3 linked regions of the Oryctolagus cuniculus genome follow. The protein of the gene in region 1 interacts with the protein of each later gene in a biochemical or structural test. Links are inferred from orthologs where the notes say so. Each region holds a gene or a part of one and is shown on either strand. Other genes may lie near its edges.

Evidence for each region. The genes of interacting proteins can lie anywhere in the genome.
Region 2: the proteins of guanine nucleotide-binding protein G(q) subunit alpha (region 1) and RGS4 form a complex in vitro, tested with the Homo sapiens proteins (3 studies listed by BioGRID). The link is inferred for Oryctolagus cuniculus from reciprocal best matches to the Homo sapiens genes GNAQ and RGS4.
Region 3: the proteins of guanine nucleotide-binding protein G(q) subunit alpha (region 1) and PLCB1 form a complex in vitro, tested with the Homo sapiens proteins (2 studies listed by BioGRID, with this or other methods). The link is inferred for Oryctolagus cuniculus from reciprocal best matches to the Homo sapiens genes GNAQ and PLCB1.

The regions. Positions count from the first base shown.
Region 1 is NC_091432.1:152,216,739-152,221,037, forward strand, and holds the start of guanine nucleotide-binding protein G(q) subunit alpha, read left to right. Parts: upstream 1-1,499; 5' UTR 1,500-1,690; coding exon 1,691-1,826; intron 1,827-4,299. Other genes in the region: uncharacterized protein, read right to left, coding at 1-91, 357-577.
Region 2 is NC_091438.1:35,611,581-35,615,724, reverse strand, and holds the start of RGS4 (regulator of G-protein signaling 4), read left to right. Parts: upstream 1-1,344; 5' UTR 1,345-1,464; coding exon 1,465-1,508; intron 1,509-4,144. UniProt on the Homo sapiens protein: Inhibits signal transduction by increasing the GTPase activity of G protein alpha subunits thereby driving them into their inactive GDP-bound form. Activity on G(z)-alpha is inhibited by phosphorylation of the G-protein.
Region 3 is NC_091442.1:33,006,022-33,010,262, forward strand, and holds the start of PLCB1 (1-phosphatidylinositol 4,5-bisphosphate phosphodiesterase beta-1), read left to right. Parts: upstream 1-1,441; 5' UTR 1,442-1,464; coding exon 1,465-1,575; intron 1,576-3,655; coding exon 3,656-3,733; intron 3,734-4,241.

The DNA.
Region 1 (4,299 bases):
AGCCACCCATAAGTTCCATCTCGGTGGAGCAGGGTACATTCGGTGACTTGGCTGTGAAAACATCGCGTGCCTTTTCAAAAACGAGGAGCATCTGTAAAACGGAAACAAGAACAACAGAAAACCAAAACCAAAATCACCTCAACAGCATGAAAAGTTGGAGCCTGCCAGGAAGCTCCCGGCAACTTGGGCAGCTTCATTTTTCTGCTCAGATTTCTATCTCAAGTGAATTGCAGGGTCCTCGCCCCCTACCCCTCGGGGAGGCAGTGACCACTCCTCTCCGGCCACAGCCCACCCGGAGAGAATCGTATTTTCTAAGATTCAACTGGGGTCAGTAGTGACGAGAGGCAGCTTCTAACCGAATGGCGTTTGAGGAATAACCTCGGGAAAAGACAGAGGCCACCGCACAGCGGCCTCGCGGAGCCGGGCAGGGGGTCTCCGGCGCTGCCAGCGGGGAGCCGGGCAGGGGGTCTCCGGCGCCAGCCGGTGCATGGGCTCGGGGCCGACTCCCGCGGCTTCCAGGCGGGGCCGAGGCGGCGCTCCGGGGCTGGTGGGCTGAGAGGCAGGCGGAGGCCGCCATATTCCCGCTCCACCACGCCCGGGCGGCCGCAGGTTGCCGGGGTTCCGGCCCGCGGTCGCAGCCGCCCGCTCAACCCGAGCGGCTGTCAGCGGGCCCTGCCCCTAGCCGAGGGCGGCTGCGTCCGCCGGAGCCCGCCGGCCTCCACGGAGGGCGCGGGAGAGGGCGGCGCCCGCGGAGCCTGAGGGGGCCGGCCCAGTCAGGGAGCTGCGCGAGCGAGGCGAGAGCCGCACTGGGCGGCGCGGCGCGCGGCTGCGAGCCCAGGGAGAGCCTTCCAAGAGGGGCCGGGCGGCTCCGCCTCCCGCGCCCGTCCCTCCGCCTCCGCCTCCTGCCCCTCCTCCTCCTCCGCCTCCTCCCGCCGCCGCCGCTGCCGCCGCCGCCGCCGCCTCCCTCCCGGATCTGTGCTCCAGTTCAGAGAAAGAAGAAAATGTGTGTGTGTGGCGAGGGGGAGGGCGATCACTGAGCAGCCGCTCCGCGCCTGGCAATCGGGGCCGGGGGTGGGCGTTTGGCGGAGGCGGAGGCGGAGGCGGAGGCGGAGGAGCGCGCGGCGGGCCGGGCCGGCGAGCGGGGTTTGCGCGCTTAGCCGGGCGGTGGGCGCGGGCAGGGCCGCGGGCGCCCGGGAGCCGTGTCAGGCGGCGGCGAGGAGCGGGCGCGCCGGGTGCGGGGAGCGGTCGGCGGCCGCTCGCTAGGGGGGCGCCCCGGTGGATGTGCTCTCGCCGCCGGGCGCAAACCGTAGGGGAGCCTCGGCGGCGGCGCGGGGGGCGAGGCGGGCTGCCCGTTCCCGGGGAAGGAGGCGCGGGCGTCTGAGCGAGGCCGGGCGCGGCGGCCTTCCCTTGCGCGCCCCCCGAGCCAGCGCCCGCGGCCGCCTCCCGCGCCCGCCTCGCTCCGCCGGGCGGCGAAGGCCTCCTGCGCCCGCCTAGACCCCGGCCCACCTGGTGGCCCCGGCCCTGGCCGTCGCCCCCGCGGCGGTTCCGCGATCTCATCCCGGACGCGCGCCCAGGCGGCGGGGGCTCAGCGGCCACCGCTGCCTCGGGGGAGCGAGGGCGGGAGGGTGTGTGTGTGCGCGCGTGTGAGCAGGGGGTGCCGGCGGGGCTGCAGCGGAGGCACTTTGGAAGAATGACTCTGGAGTCCATCATGGCGTGCTGCCTGAGCGAGGAGGCCAAGGAAGCCCGGCGGATCAACGACGAGATCGAGCGGCAGCTCCGCAGGGACAAGCGGGACGCCCGCCGGGAGCTCAAACTGCTGCTACTGGGTGAGTACGGCCCGGGCCGGCCGTGCGGGCCCTCCCCCGGGCCTCTGCGCGCCCCCAGCCCCCGCCTCCGGCCCCTCCGGGCAGCCGCCCCCAGCCCCCGGGCTCGCCCCTACCCTCCCCGGGCGCGCCCCCGGCCTCCACCCGCACCCGCGCGGGTACGCGCGCGCGCGCACACACACGCCCGTGCGCGCGGAGGGTTCGGGGCTGCCTTGTTGGGTGCCTCGGCGCGTGCTGTCTTGTGTGTCCCTTGTTGTGGGGGGGGCTTGCGTTCTCTGCGGTGTCTCTGCTCAATGGCAGATCAGATCTGGCTAGGGGCGCGGGGCTGGGAAGGTGGGCTGAGGGCTTGAACTTGCAGCGCCGGGGCCGCCGCGCCCCCAGGGGTGGTGGAGCTGTGTGTGTGTGTGTGTGTGTGTGTGTGTATGTCGCCCGGAGGGTGGCGAGCCGAGCCGGGGCACAGGGCGCGGGCGGGCGGGGGGGAGATGGCGCGCCGTGAGGTGGCCGTTGTGCATCCATTATCGGTGCGTTCTGGGGTCCAGGAGAAGTGGGGGAGCCACCGGTGGGCAGACTGGCGAGTGGGATCCCCAGGGGTGAAAACTAGAAGCCCAGCAGGGGTCGACCCTCCCCAGCCAGGGGTTCGTGGGGTGGGGGCGGGGAGGGCGGGCAAGCCCCCGTGTGTCACCCGAGTGTTCTTCTGCAGCCACCAGGCCACCCACAGGAGGGGCCCAGCAGAGTTTCTTGGCCAGTGGATGGTGGCAGGCGTGCTTCTCGGCTGCACCATTCCTTCCGGATTAGGACCGGGGCGAGGGGAGCGTGGCTGGCGTGGTTGTTGACAGCGACGGGTATCTTTTGTCTAATGAGGCATCCCAGATCTAGGCCTGAATTCACAACAGTACCGCAGCCTTTCCGTCCCTCTCCGGGGGAAAGAGAGAAACCTTTTGTTTGAAACGGACAGCATTGTAGTGTCTTGGGCATCAGGGCTGCAAAGGAAAATTTCCCTCTGGTCTCTGAATCAACAGCCCCGCGTTCTGCTTTCACGCGAAGTTAGCAAGAGAATGCCGTCTCTCGAATAGGCGTCTATGGATGATTACCTCCGAGAGAATGCTCGGAATCAGGCCACCAGGGTTCACAGACAAGCCAGCGTGAGGGCACCCGGAGCTATTGTGGTCGGCAGAGGCCTGGAGGACGTCTGCACTTGTGTTCTGCGTGTTTGTGTGTGCATAATAAATGCGCGTCTCCGACAGGAGAGAGTGTGGTCTGGGCAGTTCGGGTGGCAGAAGCCTGTATTCCCTCTCTTATCTTGAGCATTCCATCTGCTGGAGAACCAACTGTCTTTGGGGACTCAACTGCTCGTGCACTGGATCCTTTGCAAACAGGAACAAAATAACAGGGCCACCCGTACTTACGAATGGCTACTCTGCTCGCCGGGCTGTGTGTCTTCCTTCTGAAGCCCTGTTAGACAAATGTACACAGGTTCATAAAGGAACAGAAGGCAGCGGGCTGGGGGGAAGAGGTGGGCTTGAGGCCGTGAAGCCGGGGGAGGGAAACACTGCGCTTGGAAAGTGAGGTTCTTTAAAAAAATATATTTTTTTTAAATTTTATTCTCATTTTGGAGGTTGAACATTTTCTGAATTCTCGGGATTGAGAAGAAAGTGGAGAGAACAAGGGAAGGTGTTTAAATACAGAATTCAGGGGAGAAAACATGTGGTGAAGAGAGACTTGTTTGAAGAGCTGGGTTTTCTTTTCCTTTTGCCCTGTTTACTGCCTTTATTTGTTTCTGTTTAGCTGTGAACAGGGCGTCTAAGGTCTCTGCAGTCAGCTCTGTTGGCCTGAACTATGACAGCTCTGGGTTTCCCAGCAGCTGTGCCTTAGCACAGGGGCTTTGTCAGAGGGCCTGGGTTTGAATGCCCAAGAGGGAAGAACACTTCCATAGAGGCTTAATTACATGCCCTGTGCTGTGCTTTTATGGAATGAACCGGGAGATCATTTTCTGAGGAAAGAAAAATGTAAGGTACAGTTTCACAGCTTACGTGGTGGTGGTGTGGAGACTTCGCTCTTATTAGACATTTCAGTAGGGTTTCATATGGCCCACCTCATCCCCATACTATGGCCCATTAGAAGTGGTAGAAAAATAGGATATTAATTGAGCATCTACATTCATGAGTGCCATTTGAAAATGCATCTCTCTGACAGAAGCTTGATCCTCACACATCGTTAGGAATTCCTACTTCATGTTCTAGGCGTGTGGCTTTTGTGACTTAACCAGTGCAGTGCCCACACTACTCACGTGGTAAAGATAGGTGCTGAATGTAGATGTGTGCCTGTGTGTGAATGGTGGGTGAGTCCAGGAGGGAGCCGAGGGCTGAGCTGAGCAGGGAAGGGTAACGGGGCGGCTTCCGGCAGAGGGATTTCTGCTGTGCTGCTCTGATGAGTACCCTGAATTTTCCCGATCCTTCCTTCATTTACACAGAGCCTA
Region 2 (4,144 bases), on another chromosome or scaffold:
GGGGGACATACAGGTACAGCTCTTTTCCATTTTGCATTCTGTCTTCGCACTCTCTTTGCATTCTACTGGCTCCCATCTATTTTTCATCTTTCCCACCTGAACTACTTGATATCTCTGTTTCTTCTAAGTAAAGCACAGCTCCCTGTAGCTTGCGGTCAGAAATCTACCTGCTTTCAAAATGAGAGCTGTCTGGGTCAGACTTGGTATTTAATTTCCCCCTTGTACTCACAGCTTTCAGATACAAAGAAGCACTCTCTGCAGTTCTAGTGTACATGAGCTATGATTGTAAGATACGAAACACCTGCATGATTCTTTAAAATATTCAGTCTATGATATTACATGCAAAAGATACTAATAGTCTCGGTGTTCAGAAGTACCTGCAGGGCAGAATATTCTTATGCTAACCCTGAAGCCAGGTAATAGGCAAAGCAAACCATATTTTTCTGCCTGCCTGCTCTCTGGAGCATTTCTCTTTCTCTGTCTTTCCTTCTCTCCCTCCCTTTCTTCCTCTTGAAATACCAATTTAGAAGCTTAGAATTACATAAGACATGAACACAGTTGCTAACAAGAATCAGTATCTATATTTATTCATCTCCTTGCTGCCCTGGACCTCAGGCTGCTATTTGAGGCTTTTTGCAGGAGGCAAGCATGTACAGGAGAAATTGTCAGTGCTGGGCTGAATTCTGTTCTTAATAAGAATTGGAGCAAAGTATTCTACAGTCAGTTTGATGACAGATGCAGCAAATCTATTTCTCCTGGGCCAGCTTTTCTATGCTGCCAGGCATATTCCTGTCTGCCATTTAGCTATTTCTCCCCACACCTCCGTGTGTCTTGCAATGGAGAAATCATCTCTCGGAGACGATGATCCTCCCACCTGCCTTTTGGAAATCGAGCAGGTCAAATATTGGGTCACATACAATGTGATGTTTCTCATCCAAAAGAGAAAGTGTGTTGAGATTCAACCCCCAAAGTGTGCCTTAGAATTCCTACTGGCACCTTTCCGTTCCGGAGGCAATGTTGTCCCTGATACTGTTTTTACAGACAAAAGAATAAACTCCCATATTTTCCAACACTGTAGACTTTTATTTTTCCCGTCTCTAGAAGTTAAAAATCACAGACATTTGTAGAGATATTGAGTCACTTTTTTCATGTATGTCTATTTTGGAAGAGGATTTTCCCAGCTTGTCCATTTTGCATGGCTGATGCGTAAGTCCTTTCTTCCTCCTGCCTTCCAGGGGCTGGAGAGGCAGAGGAGACAGGCGCTGGTACCGCAGAGCTGTTATCTGATTGGCTCGTCGCTCGTGGCCGGGCTATAAAAGAGACCCCTACAGGCCTGGAAAGGAGAAGCTCAGGATTCTGGCAGCATCTTTGCAGGAGTGAAACCGAAGCTTGAGCAAAACAGAGGCCACAGCTCCTCCTGCTGCGTTTCTTTCCTCCTCGGCGAATCCCACGCTGTTAGACAAGATGTGCAAAGGGCTTGCAGGTCTGCCGGCTTCCTGCTTGAGGAGGTAAGATTGTTTTCAGCTACTAACTACGTTCAACTTTTGGACAGACTTTCTCAGTTACTTGCTAGTTGTGTTTACTAACCTGGTTCTTTGGAGTAGCAGTCTGATCAGGGGAGAATATTTCCCTGGATTTTCTCCAAGAATAACTTGATTTGTGACTTAAGAACTGTGCTTCCCAAATTCTGATATTAGTGTGTTGTTTCATGTGACCTCAGTTTTGAAAACTGTTGTGATCTTTTAGCCAAGTCCTCTAACTAAGCTAGTGCTGATTAAGAATCATATGAGGTGTTGACTCTACTTGCTGTATCTGTGATCACCTCCATTATGTGAGCATACCTGGATAATTGCAAGCACTGTGACTCTCTGAAATTCATTTAGGGGAGGACACCTCGGAATGAACTTGTGCTACATCATCAGAAAGCCACAATGCTTTCTGTTGGGGCTACAGTATCGTTCTATATTCTCATAAACAAATGTCACAATGAAATAGTTTCTATGCTACATGTCTCTTTTTTTCTCTGTTCTTATCTCTCATTCTTAAAGTGTCTTATGTGAGTGGTAGTTAAGGAGTATTGATTATAACAAGTCATCTGAGGGTTCTGTAGAAGAGCTCATCCTAAAGAGATTGTTTTGTCAATATAAAAACAAAGACTTAAAAATATATAGCTACTCTTCTGTCTTTTTAAATAGGCGTAAGTAGATGATTTCAGAAAATGCTAGATATTCATCAGTTGAAAGTAAAATACAAAATGAGAGCGTATTACATCACTTAATCTTGCAGCTAAAGGTAAAAAGTCAATCTGCAAGTGTACTACCTCTTTTCTTGTCTCCCTGCAAAGAACAATCACCTTACATTTCAATTTGGAGTTAATTCCAAGAAGCATAATCTTTTGTGTGTTTTGAAGCCATTTGCCTTTCATTCAGAAGCAGGACAGTATTGATATATTCTCCGTAATGAAGCAGGAGGTTCTGGTAGAGAGTACTGATGGGATAAATACCTCTCACCTTCACCATTAATTTCCTAACTGGATAGAGCAAGACCATCCACGCTTCAGTTAAATCACATATAAAATTAATCATGCAAAATGCAGAAGTGTCAGGGAAAAGTTATGCTCCAGTAAATATTTAGTGATTCATAGATGGGAGATTGTGCTAGAGGTCTGCCCTTGAGGCACTGAGCAACTGATTGAGAAGGTTAAGCTCACAGTCAGTAGGTAGCTGTTCTTCCCCTCCTCACAGGGGAAACGTCAATCATCTAGTCCAGCACTTTCTCCAGCAGTGCCCGAGCTTCCGGAGGGACTTCCCACTGCCCGGGGTGTGTGAGTGAAGATCACATCCAGTTCCTCATTCCAGTGACTTCTGAAGTGATTTTCGTTTTTATTTGTACTGTTTTATTACGTTAAAAGGATACTTTCTGTGCATACTCTCAACTCATTAGGAAATGACCCTACACTGGGCAGTCAATAGCCATGGGATCTCAAACAGAGGAGGCACATGGTAGTACGGAATAATTTCTATTTACATTGACTCACAATACACTCATGCCATCACCTTAGAACCACTCTAGGCTTCAGGAATATATCTTGCTATCATTAAGGAGAATTTCCCAATCCCTGTGCAGTCACCAGTTGAGAAAGCAGAGAAAGGCAAATAGTCATGTGAAGAAGAGAAAATACCATTTAGGGGGCAGTCCAAGGACCTAATGGAATTCAAACTTTCTTGGGAAGCCGACATAGATAAACCTTTAGTATATCAATAACCATTCTAAAATTTCTTTTTACCCTTTATTTCCCCCCTACAAGTAGGAACACTTAGCTATCCATTTCTTTTTAAAATCATTTCTCTTTTTAACTATTTTGTAGCTTTTATAGTAAGAGATACAAGCAAAAACATGGTAGTGTAAGAGAAGAGGTAAAAGCTTATCTCTGGGCCTCCTTTTTGAGCTACTGAGGAGTACTGACATAGCCTGGTCACCTATGAAATGGCAATACACCAGAAACTCTGCCCGCAATCGCAATCACTAGTTTCAGGAGTGATTCTAGATGGCTTCTTCAGTGTATAAATATTAAAAAAGAAGGCAATAGCAGCACTATATTGTCTGGAAGAACTAATCTAAAGGAACGTGGGTTTCACCCTGAGCATTTGCGTTAACCACTCCATTTCTGAAGCTACACACCTCAGTATGTACTCCATATTTACCCCATAACACATATTTCTTGTTCCATCACATATTTGGATGGAAAGAAAGAGACCCTTAATTTCCAAAGGAGCTTCTTACTCTGCCTGCAAGGAGACAGATGACAATAGCAACCAACCACCAGAAGGGGGCGTGCAGCAAAAAGGTGTCGAATTTTGCAGTTACTGCTGCTTTCTAACTCCTAAAAATTACTCAAAGAACAGTCATGTCTTCTTGTGTGGTTATATTGATGATACCAAGTGTTTCATTGTTGCACCAAAATGGCATGTGTACAGAACGGGCTTCTAAGACAGATTGAAGGGTCAGAATTCCAATTATAGATAAGTAAACCAGTGTTATGACTCTCATCTCAAGGTTGTGCATTAACTCATTGGCAGAAACAAGTGTTGCTTTCCTGAGAATTAATGCCAACTTCATCTCCTATTCCCTAAATTAACTGTCT
Region 3 (4,241 bases), on another chromosome or scaffold:
GAGGTGGGAAAAATAGGGAATTAAAAATGAATACTCTTGTATTTCTGGGTCAAATCCTGCTTTGCATGGCAACCGTGCCAGTTCCAGCTGATCTTGGAGTGTTAGAGGTGATTATGGAGGAGGCAGGCAGGGAGCTGAGGTAAATGATCATTTGACAGGGGAGCTGTGGTTGGAAGAGTGGGGTCAAGAAAATATTGAACAAAGGAGCTTTGAATTTGAAGGAGGTGAGAAAATAACCTAGAATAGAAGTTTCTGAAGCAAATGAGGCAGACTAGTAAAGTGTTCCAAAGTATGAATTTGGGCAGCTTCACTCTAACTTAAATAGTTGATTCTCGGAGATCCTTATAGTGAATTGCCAATGAATATTTTGATTAGAATCTTGATGAATCCCCAATAAATAAAAGGAACTGACCTGAAAATTATGTTGTACCTGCAGGTTAATTTCATTCATCTGGCAGTGGTAATGTGTGCTGTGTGCAATCTCTCAGAAGCTTTTATTTTCTCACCCCTGAAGAGTGAAACAGGACTGAAAATATTGCTGTGACTTATTGGAAATATTTCTGTGAACTGTTATGCATGCAATATCATAGAAGAAGCTTAAAATAGTTTAAAAGTTGTTTTTTTTCCCAATAGGATATTACATTTGTTTCCAACTGCCTTTCCTTTGACATTTAAATTTAAAAGTAATGTTGAAATTTTAAAATACTAGTTGAAGTTCCATGCAACAGCACAATCCTTATAAAAGATATTTCTCAAACTACATGTTCAGAATATATGTCGAGAATATTGGGCATTTTCTCTTAGCTAAAACTTCCAGTGGTGGTAGGGTGGAAAGTATCACTATGCTCCTAAATCTAAATATATGAAATACATGACATTTGTTCACCTTATATAAAGAAAAAATATTTTAAAAAATTTTAAAAAAGAATATCAGAACCAAACAGCATGGCAATTCCTCAGAAAATTAAACACAGAACTACTCTATGATCTAGCAATCGCACCTCTGGGTGTAGACTGAAATGAATTGAAAGCAGGGTCTCAAAGAGATCTTGGTCCACCTGTCTTCATAATGACATTATTCACAATTGACAAAAACAACCCAAATACCCGCTGACAGATGAATAGATAAATAAAACATGGTATATACATAAAGTGGGATATTATTCAGTCTTTAAAATGAAGGCAATTTGATAATGCTGTAATATGGATGAACTTGGAGAACATTATACTAAATTAAATAAGACAGACATGAAGGAAGACACTGATATAATTCTACTTATATGAGTTAACTACAATATCAAAGTTACAGACACAGAAAGTAAAATGGTGTAGGGGCTGGCCTTGTAGGGCAACAGATTAAGTTGCCATTTGTGACATAGGCATCCCATATCACAATGCCGATTTGAGTCCCAGCTGCTCCACTTCTTATCCAGCTTCCGGCTGGTGCACCCAGGAAAATAGCTGATGATACCCCAAATACTCAGATCCTTTCCACCCAGGTGGGAGATGTGGTTGGTGTTCTTGGCTTTGGCCTGGTCCAGCCCTGGTTTGATGGACTATTTGGAGAATGAACATGTAGGTAGACAATCTCTCTGTCTCTCCCTCTCTCTCCATTGCCTGCCTTTCAAATAAATAAATATATCTTAAAAATAAAATGGACAGGGAGCTAAGAAGTTGCACTATTCTACTACTACTACTAGTACTACTACTACTAGTACTAAATGCCTGCCATAACGGGGGATGAGCCAGGCCAAAGCCAGGTCTCCCATGTAGATGATAGGGATGCATGGACTGGACCATCACCTGCTGCCTCCCAGGATTCACATTAGCAGGAAGCCAGAATTGGGAGTGGAGCTGAAACTTGAATCCAGGCACTCCAATAAGGCATGTGGGCATCCCAAGTGGCATCTCAACCACTATGCCAAATGCTCTGCCATAGATAATGTTTAAAGTCTGAAAAGTTTCAGGTTGAGAAGATGAAACATTTCTGGAGCAGGCTGGTGGTGAATGTACTTAACACCAATGAACTGTATACTTCAAATTGGTAAATTTTATATCATGTGTATTCTACCATAGTAAAAAGGCATATCAAGATATATTTTCAATTATAACTTAATACATTTGATTTTAAATATAATCCATTATATCAACAGTTTATGTGGAAAACATTTGTCCAGGTCCTTCACCCACACTATTCTATTTAAGCCTTGTAATAAGTCTGCTGGGCAGGTTTTATTATTATCCCCTTTCCTTCAGTTGTGTAAAATGAGGCACTAAAAGGGAACAGTTAGGAATTTGAATTCCAGAGGACAGCCTCTTAGAACCAGGCTCCTCTAATAACACTTAACATGTAGATTAAATTAATACTATTATATCCATCAGACAGAAAAGTCACCAAATTCCAAAATTATCTCTTCAGGTTCTTTATTACAAGTTCTTTGATCACATAGAAGATATGATACATGATAATTAGAATATGTATGAAAACATTTAAAAGGACAGCCAATTTATGGCTCTTTGAAAAATACAATTCCTGCAAAGGCCTGAGTTTTTCTACATAAAACTCTATATCTGGTGACATGTATTTTCTTGTGTAGATGGTATGTCGTTCTGAAAATTTCCAAAAGACATGACCAGATATTTTAGAAATGTTTAATGTTACTTACTCCTCATGTAGGATCTCTGTCCTTAACGTGCTGTACATTGTGATTTAATGCTGTAACTAGTACTCAAACAGTATTTTTCACTTTGTGTTTCTATGTGGGTGCAAACTGTTGAAATCTTTACTTAATATATGCTAAACTGATCTGTATATAAAGAGAATTGAAAATGATTCTTGATGTGAATGGAAGGGGAGAGGGAGCGGGAGATGGGAGGGTTGCGGGTGGGAGGGAAGTTATGGGGGAGGGAAGTTATGGGGGGGAAAACCATTGTAATCCATAAGCTGTACTTTGGAAATTTATATTCATTAAATAAAAGTTAAAAAAAAAACTTAAAAAAAAGCAAATACAAAAAAAAGAAATGTTTAATGTTACTATTAAAATTACAGTTCATACAACATTTGCTTTATAACAGGCATACTTTAAATGCAGAAGACTGTCTGTGATGTTTTATTTTAGTATGTGAAATTTAAATTTTCAACAGTTTTGTGTATCTCTTTCCCAATATGGAGAAAATGGCCTTATTTACTGTTACCTTGGAAACAGCAATGGCCAAATGCTATGTTTATTCTCTTTAGTATAATTAAAAATCATTTTATGGAGAAAATGTAATTTAAAATATTATCCTTGAGCCTGAATTTTAATTAACTGTAGTCATATGGAATATGCAATGATGGTTAGTGTTAAAGTCACTTAAAAATTAAATATAGATTTTTAATAGAAAACATGTCAATGCCTTTCAAAACTTGTCTTCATCAATAAATGCCTCACTGACCATTCCTTTAGAGTTATGTACAAATATTCTGATTACTGTTACTGTTATATTCAGTAATCCTTTGAAGTTAAAAATTCTGTGTCTAATTTTTAAAATATTTTCTTTTAGTTGAAATCTTCAGAGAAACTCTTAACCATTATTATTTCTCAAGAAACTCCTGTGGAGATCTTTCTACAGTTGCATATGTTGATATACATGTTTTGTTTTCTTATATTTTTAGGACTCCACTATTGTTACTCCAATTATTTTGAGGACTGACCCTCAGGGATTTTTCTTTTACTGGACAGATCAAAATAAGGTAATAAATAAAATATATCTTTCTTACATTTTCCTGTTGGTTACTGATTTGCAAAGCTAGTATCTTATCTGAAAATATGTACCTATTTCACAGATGAATTTTTGTAATTTATTTAGTGCTATACTTCCAAAGAACATCTAAGGCCAAACTTTATAGGACTTTATAAGGATTCCAGTTTAAAATACTAGATTTGCTAAATCATAGAGCAATTGATATTTTTCAGTTTGCTTATATTATTTGGTAGGACAAGAATATGGAAATATAAACCACATCTGATGTGAACATACATAGCCAATGATGCCAATTTAAGTCCCCATCCATAAAGAATGAAGGAAAAGGATGATGAAATGACCTTTGACCCTCATGAACATAGCTTTTGCTTTTTCATTCTCTCTCTTCTTCCTTATGCTCTTCAGTAAGTGGTCTGCTGGCATCAGCAAGAATTTGGCTTTTACAATTTGCTCATGTTAGAAAATTAAGAAAAAGATTTCTTTAGCTTACTGCTGAA